Linked DNA regions of Drosophila melanogaster. The protein of the gene in region 1 purifies or fractionates together with the protein of each later gene. This does not show direct contact. Each region holds a gene or a part of one and is shown on either strand. Other genes may lie near its edges.

The links.
Region 2: the proteins of Nedd8 (region 1) and Drice purify together in Drosophila melanogaster (affinity purification with western blotting, with the first as the bait; one study listed by BioGRID). This does not show direct contact.

What each region holds. Positions count from the first base shown.
Region 1 is NT_033779.5:18,950,412-18,953,786, forward strand, and holds Nedd8 (Nedd8 ubiquitin like modifier), read right to left. Parts: upstream 1,427-3,375; 5' UTR 1,305-1,426; coding exon 1,287-1,304; intron 1,127-1,286; coding exon 996-1,126; intron 936-995; coding exon 830-935; 3' UTR 595-829; downstream 1-594. Other genes in the region: CG10428 (uncharacterized protein), read left to right, coding at 1-513; CG10621 (uncharacterized protein), read right to left, coding at 1,928-2,586, 2,747-2,926, 2,993-3,149. UniProt on the Drosophila melanogaster protein: Ubiquitin-like protein which plays an important role in cell cycle control, embryogenesis and neurogenesis. Covalent attachment to its substrates requires prior activation by the E1 complex Uba3-Ula1 and linkage to the E2 enzyme UbcE2M.
Region 2 is NT_033777.3:29,797,611-29,802,245, forward strand, and holds Drice (death related ICE-like caspase), read left to right. Parts: upstream 1-2,047; 5' UTR 2,048-2,287; coding exon 2,288-3,307; 3' UTR 3,308-3,974; downstream 3,975-4,635. Other genes in the region: Rnb (R and B), read right to left, coding at 1-166, 232-570, 628-1,221, 1,299-1,391, 1,498-1,659; Etfb (electron transfer flavoprotein beta subunit), read right to left, coding at 4,339-4,635.

The DNA.
Region 1 (3,375 bases):
ATGGAAAACAAAGCTTTCTCCCTGCTTCAAGCTCAGAAAAGATCAAACGAATTGGGTTTGACCAACTGCGTTTTTTACCAATGCAACATAGATTACTTTGTCGGAGGATTCAAGATCGGGGCCTCTTTGCACGCGTGTGGAACGGCGACAGATATCGTTTTGCAGCAGTGCCGGAGAGCCAAGGCACATTTTGTTTGCTGTCCTTGCTGCTACGGTTCTCTGCAGCCCATGCCTCACATTTCGTACCCATTGAGCAAAGCGTTCCAAAAGGTGTTAGACACAAAGGACTACTTGTACATTGCCCACTCGGCAGATCAGGCACACGAGATGGGGACAACCAACTGCAAGCCAGAAACCACGCTTCAAGGACTCCACTGCATGTCCGTGGTGGACACCGATCGCCTGCTGCAGGCGGAGGAGGCGGGCTACCAGGTCATTCTCACACGCTTAAAGCCCGAACAGTGTACGCCAAAGAATCACCTGCTAGTCGGACGTTTTGTTAAACAGAACTGAACTTACAATCTGCCACTGAGACAAAATAAATGCCTTTTTGATATGTTTTAAACCTTAGCCCACCATTGTGGAGTGTTCTTCTTTTTTTCGAATGATTTAGATGTTGGCTTACAAAAAAACATGTTTTATTACGGACCCGGTTGGCCCCAATCCATTCTGTCTAAATTCCTCCGATGCGAATACACTTTGTTTTCTTCTAAACCACTTTTAAGACTTCTTTTTAGTTTACATATATTAATTCTCCATATGACGCTTCTCAAGCTTAATATATTTGAGTGAATTTTAAATGAATGTTTTCCACTTATGAACACGCTAGTTACACACAAGGTGTTAGGATTGAATCACCTCCTCGCAGAGCCAATACCAAGTGAAGAACGGATCCACCTTGCACTTTGTAGTCCGCCGCGGTTTTATCGTCATTCCTGGGGGGGATCGCATGCGAAATAAGCTAAAATCAATGACCAATAGCCAGAAAGACTCACATTTGCTTGCCGGAGAAAATAAGACGCTGTTGCTGGGGCGGAATGCCTTCCTTTTCCTCCACGCGCTCCTTGATGCGATCTACCTTGTCCGTGGGCTCAATGTCGATCTCGATTTCCTTGCCGGTCAGGGTCTAATGGAAAGATAATACATATTTACATTAATAATCCAGCCACACATATATTGACTGTAATATTCGACGATTTTGTTGTTGTTCAAAGTGCCCGCTGGGCACGATGGCTGTGATTTATCTTTATCCTACTTTTTTGCTACTCCATATCTTCCACACTAACCTTCACTTTGATCAACATTTTGTGTGTATTTAACTAGGCGCTCCTGTACAAATTCAAAATTGCCGAAATTTTTGCAAATCTCCACAGCTGGTTCTCTTTTTTGGCTGTCACTTTCGGCGTTGGTACGACTGGCAACTATCGATAGTACTGTCGATGACCATCGATTGTTTTCCACACTATTACAAATATAGTATTTTCTCCATCATTCCATCTCTACACAATTCACGTGTAAAAAAATACATTTCGAAAAAGGAGAACTTAATTTATGTAAATTTTTTGTAGCTTGATTTATAGTGTGCCCATTACGGTTAGAAGTCTCACATATTTAGAATTCAAATTCTCCTTAAATTATTTTACTCATGAGATGCAAAAATCCATTGAATGCCATTACTACATTTTTTAACTTTTGAAAAAAATGGAAGGCGTCACTTTTGAGGGATTTGAATTAAGAGCAATTTGTTTATTAATGTTTTATCTCGGATCTTAGAAAATTAAAAAGTATTTTTTTGTCTTTTGTCTTTTCTGTTTTATTAAAATAAGTTGTATGCCTTAATAACTAAATACATTTATTTACAGTACTAAATGGATAACTACTTTGTTCTTTTCGAAGGTACTGAGATCCCCAGCTTAGAAGTTCATCCCTATGAGAGCTTCTTCAGTTTGTTCCAGTCGCGAATGGCCTCCCCGATGTGGCGTATATCCCTCGCATAAGTGCGACAGCATCCCCCAATGACCTTGGCCCCCAGTTGCGCCCACTCCGGAACGTAGTTCGCCAAGGGCACACAGTGCTCCCTTCCCTGCCAGCCGTTGACCACGTCGTATACCTCTCCGCTATTGGGGTACACCACCAACGGTATCTGCTCACCCACTTCGCGGTCACCATTCAAACTCTTAAAGAGCGGGGTCACAAACTTCGGATGCACACAATTTACTCCGATGGCCAGGCACTTATCCTGGGCATTTCGTTCAGCCAAGAGGTCCCAAATAGCATTCGCCGCGTCCGCAAAGGTTTCTCCATGCGCCAGGGTATTCTCATCCTTGCACTGGAAGGCCACCCAGAACTTCACATCCGGATAATCATCGCACAGCATCTCCACCAGGGCCTCCGCCTCCATTTGACAGGGAATCGTCTCGATGGCCAGCGCATCCACACCAGCCTCCAAGCACGCTTCGATCCTCACGCGATGCCAGTCCGTAATCTCCTTGGCCGGCACAAAGTCGGCATAGCTACCGGTGTACTCGGAGCCATCGTGCAGGTGGGCCCCAAAGGGTCCAATGGAGGCAATGATCAAAGGGTATCCTTTAAAAACAATAAATTGGAATATATAATTGGTAAATATTACTATATATAAAATAAAGTATTAAAGAAAGTATTAAAAGTAATGACCCTACCACATCATTCACTTGACCACAATCTAAATTAATCCCGCCCGAGCTGGACCTCATGGATGTCAACTTACCCTCCTGCACCGACAGCTGCGCCTGATAGCACTCGGTGAGATAGCGTTCCTTGGCGATGTGGGCCAGGCGGACCGTGTTCTTTATCAGCTCGATGCTCTGCTCCTCGTCCAGCTCCAGGTACTCCATGTAACCATCGACACTGGACTGGTAGGTGTTGGTCAAAATGATATCGGCACCATCTGGTGTTGTCAAGGGGAAAATTCAGTTAGTATGTTGCCAATTGCTACCGGAAAACAATTGCTTACTCTGCAAAAAGTCCAGGTGGGTGCTGATAATGGCCGCCGGATTGGTGGCATTGAAGCGGGCACTCCATAGCGGATCCCCATCCACAGAGTCACCCACATGGACGGTCATCTGGGTGCCGAAACCGCCATCCTTCACCAGCACGCGCGTCAAACCCATGATTGAAAGATTACTAAGAGGGGTGGAGGATGATCCGTTGAAAATTGATTATTAGTTACATTTCTACGTCAGCGGGCTGCGAGATAATTAAATATGTATATTGCGTCTGCCACCTGGATTCCACTGCACTCAGGGCGATGTTATACAATGTATCGGAAGAACTAATCTCTATTTTTCAGTTCAACGAACTTGGCAGAACAAAAGACCAGTGGCTTAATCTAAAAAA
Region 2 (4,635 bases), on another chromosome or scaffold:
TTTTTTTACCACCTTGCAGTCTCTCGTCTCGTCGACGTTTGTGATGCTCATCATCGCTGGTCAGGTAATCGTTTAGTTCCCGCACCAACATGGGCATTAGTCCTTCATACAGCATGAGTTCCATGCTTAAGTTATCATATTGGAAGTTGTAAAGTATGTGAAATAGCTGTTGGGTATGAAGAAAGCCATTATATATAGCAGATGTCAAGAGGGATTTGGTTTCCATCTCACCGATGATCGCTCGCTCTGCGAGTTGGAGTCCCGGATCATGGCCACCAGCTTGCGCAGTGCCCCACATCTCCGGATCTTCGAGCGGCTGCAGGCATCGGTGGATAGCGTCAAGATTATGTTGATGCAGTGCCGGCTCTCGCTTTCGCTAAGTGGCTTTGCCATGTTCACAGCCATGAGCATCTCGCAGGCAGCCACAATGGCATCCGCAGTGCTCAGCATGTAGAAGGCGAAGGGATCCTTGCAGAAGTTAGAGAGGATTTTAAGGGCAGAGGCCCGTTGGTCGCCGTCCTCCTTTACGAAGCACACAATGGAGGCGAGCGAGGTATTCCAGGAAATGGACTAACAAGAAATGTTTATTATGTACTACGTTTTGGAGAACTTAGAAAACAGTCTCACCTCCCAAACTTTCAGTCCAATTTGCTGCGCGGATATCAGGACCAGACACTTCAGAATCTCGAGGGCCAGCTCAACGGCCGCTTCATTTTCCTTGGGCAGCGCATAGTCACAGTTCCTTGTGGAATTCTTGAGCATCTGGTGGTCAAAGATGTCACTGCGAACACCCTCCAAATTCCGGGCTACCTCCTCGAAATACTTCTCACGGTGCTGGTTCCTCTTCAGGCCAATCAGCGTGGACATCTCGATGTCCGGAACGGGCTCCTTGGATGCCTCTTCGTTCTTCATCACGGCCAGAAAAATTCGCATCAGCTGCTGGAACCCATTGGCCATGAGGAAGTACTTCAGGAACTGGCTGCTGGCCAGAAGGAAACGGCAGACGCGGAATGCCATGATGCGGGTCTGCACCGCACTGGTGGACTCAATGATGTGGCAGATGGCCGGTGCAATGGCCGCATAGTGCACTGTGAGACACTGGGACGCCTTCTTGCTCTTGGCGATGTTTCCAAGCATCCGGCAGGCGCGGCACTGGATCAGGGGATTAGGTATGGTCTTCAGAATGGTCACCAGCGGGTGAATCACCTTGCATTCAACAGCCTTAAAGTGGAAAGTTTTAAATTTTTTTAACCGTTGTGGTTCAAAATAAAGATAAAAATGTAATCTGATAATCCCACCTCAATGCAGGACTGTTCGTCGGTGCAGCAGTTCCCCAGTATGCTCAGTACCACCTCCATTATCTTTTCATTCAGCTTGGTGATCAGTCGCACCTGGAAGACGCAATTAATAATGATTTAAAAATCGATTCGAATAACGATCCTATGTGAGCGGCAGTGGCTGTCAAACCACCATGAGCGTTGTGACTCCCAAACCCACCATGATGTGAACGCCCCCAGCAGTGCGAAATAAAACAATGCCATTTTTATCCTTCACCAGATCGGTGCGCAGCTTCACCAGGCATTTGTAAATGACTGTTCGATCCGTGGAGGTCTTTAGCACTTCCAGCATGCTCTCCACTTGCTCTGGTGTCCAGAACATTGGTAATTTTCTTAATTTTTAAACAAATTGAAACAATTCAACAAATTCTACAGTGCGTCTCAAACCTCTTTGAGAGTGTGACCGTGCATAAGAGCGTATTTTACGGTATTTTACGTTATTTTTCGAAAATCCAGCAGCGGTCTGCCTTATTTATAAACTGATGTTTACGTTTTAGCTTTGGATGCGAATTCGATTCTACAATAATAAATGGAAGCAGGCCTGTTTTTTATGTAGATTATACAAGTTCCCACAAAATTACCTCCAAGCTTTTAATTTCAAATTATTTTAATATTTTTTAAAACCCATTTAATAATTTTTCCTATATTTATTTACTTTCTTTGTTTACCGTAATCGTGACACGAGGGCTGAAGTGTCATCACCAAATCAGGCGCTATTTGGTGTTTTTCAACTGCCAACAACGGTCTTACAGAATTAAAGACAAAAACGCAATCGACTAAAGTAATTAGTTAATAACTAGCTGTCTTTGTTGCGCGTAAACACGGACTTTCCCCAGAACGAAGCTAATTTGCCCAAGTCGTGCATCCAAGCTTTTCACAGATTTGGAAAAACCTGTTTCGCAGTGCTTGTGACTCATCAGTTTTCGCAGGCTCAAGGAGAGAACTTAGCCATGGACGCCACTAACAATGGAGAATCCGCCGACCAGGTGGGCATCAGGGTGGGCAATCCGGAGCAGCCCAACGATCACACAGATGCCCTGGGCTCCGTGGGATCCGGAGGAGCGGGTAGCAGCGGCCTGGTCGCAGGATCCTCGCATCCTTACGGCAGCGGAGCCATTGGGCAGCTGGCCAACGGGTACAGCTCACCCTCGTCCAGCTACCGTAAGAATGTAGCCAAAATGGTCACCGACCGCCATGCAGCCGAGTACAACATGCGCCACAAGAACCGCGGAATGGCACTGATCTTCAACCATGAGCACTTCGAGGTGCCCACCTTGAAGTCTCGCGCGGGAACCAATGTGGACTGCGAGAATCTGACTCGGGTGCTCAAGCAGCTGGACTTCGAAGTGACCGTGTACAAGGACTGCCGCTACAAGGACATTTTGAGGACAATCGAGTATGCAGCGTCGCAGAATCACAGCGATAGTGATTGCATCCTGGTCGCCATCCTGTCGCACGGCGAGATGGGCTACATCTACGCCAAGGACACACAGTACAAGCTGGATAACATCTGGAGCTTCTTCACGGCCAATCACTGCCCCTCGCTAGCCGGCAAACCCAAGTTGTTCTTCATACAGGCCTGCCAGGGCGACAGATTGGATGGCGGAGTGACCATGCAGCGTTCTCAGACGGAAACCGATGGCGACTCCTCGATGAGCTACAAGATTCCAGTGCACGCCGACTTTCTGATCGCCTACTCGACGGTTCCTGGATTCTATTCGTGGCGCAACACCACCCGCGGCAGCTGGTTCATGCAGAGCCTGTGCGCCGAACTGGCGGCCAATGGCAAGCGGCTGGACATCCTGACCCTGCTCACATTCGTGTGCCAGCGGGTGGCCGTGGACTTTGAGTCCTGCACCCCGGACACTCCGGAGATGCACCAGCAGAAGCAGATACCCTGCATAACCACCATGCTGACGCGCATTCTGCGTTTCAGCGACAAGCAGTTGGCACCAGCCGGACGGGTTTGATGGCTAATGGTATGGATCAAACGGTGGGTACGGCGAGGTGTGTGATAAACCAAGTCGCAATTAAGTTAGAACCTCATGGGCTATCGGCCTTGCAGCATATTTTTTATACAACACTTTTTTAACCTGCCCAATTGCTCGACGAGATTGGTGCCACTGCCCGTTTTATTTTATTTAGGCACAAAGTATCTTTCGATTGACATTTATTAATGTCGCATTTACTCGTCTGTATTTATATTTTTTGGGGTGGGTAGAGTAGATCGATTTAACTTAGAAATCTAAGAGGTTTTTACTCCGGCCAAAATTTTTTGACAATTTTAACTTGCCAACTGAACAAAGACGATCTCAAAATTTTAAATTCTCTACTAAACCTTATCATAGAACAACTTGCGCCTCTTTGATTCTCGATCAGGAATGTCGGCCCACCCTTATCTATATCTACCTTAGACCATTTACAGACAAGACCTTTTTACAATTTTATACACATAGATATCTTTATAGTATAAGCCTGTGTGTCATGGTCGTCCAAAACGAAAACAAACGATTTTAGCCTGTAGTCGAGTGTTTTATGAACAATATATACTATTTCTATGCCATTTGTACTCTTATATAATGCACATTAGCAAATGTTCTCCTTTCAAGTTAACCGCTAATAAATCCGATTGAAAACAATGAGAAATCAATGACCATTGGCTGTTTGCTGTTGACCCTGTCGCCTCTTTTGGGCGCCAAGTTGAGCGGCATTTCCCGAAAAGGTAGCACGCGGAGACGGAAAAATAGACGAGTCCAGCCATTGGCTGACCCTGATCGTACGATTTCAGAGCTTACAATCACTTTATTCTTAGAGCTGGACACAACGAGAATAAATTCCAATTTATAGTTCACTTAAAGCACACGGGTATGGGTTGAATTCAGAGAAATTTAAAGCCTGTCAGCAAATCCGACTCTCCGGCTAGATAAATGCACGTTTCTGATAACTTTCGACTAATTAAAAACGTAGAATATGCGCTCACAATTTTCTAGTTGAGGAACATCTAGATGTGGCCGCCCTCCTTTAGCTTGGCCACCAGGGCATCCACGTCGGCGACGGTGGCGCCGGCCTGGCGCACAGGAGGATCCTCCACGGAGATGACCTCGATGCGGGGCGAGGTGTCCACGCCGAGATCCTTGGCCGTAACCTTCTTCAGCGGCTTCTTCTTGGCCTTCATGATGTTCGGCAACGTGGCGTAGCGAGGGGTGTTCAGCCGGAGATCGGCGCTCAGCACAGCCGGGGTCTTGGTCTTGATTGTCTCCAGGCCACCATCAATTTCACGCGTGATGGTCAGACCGGC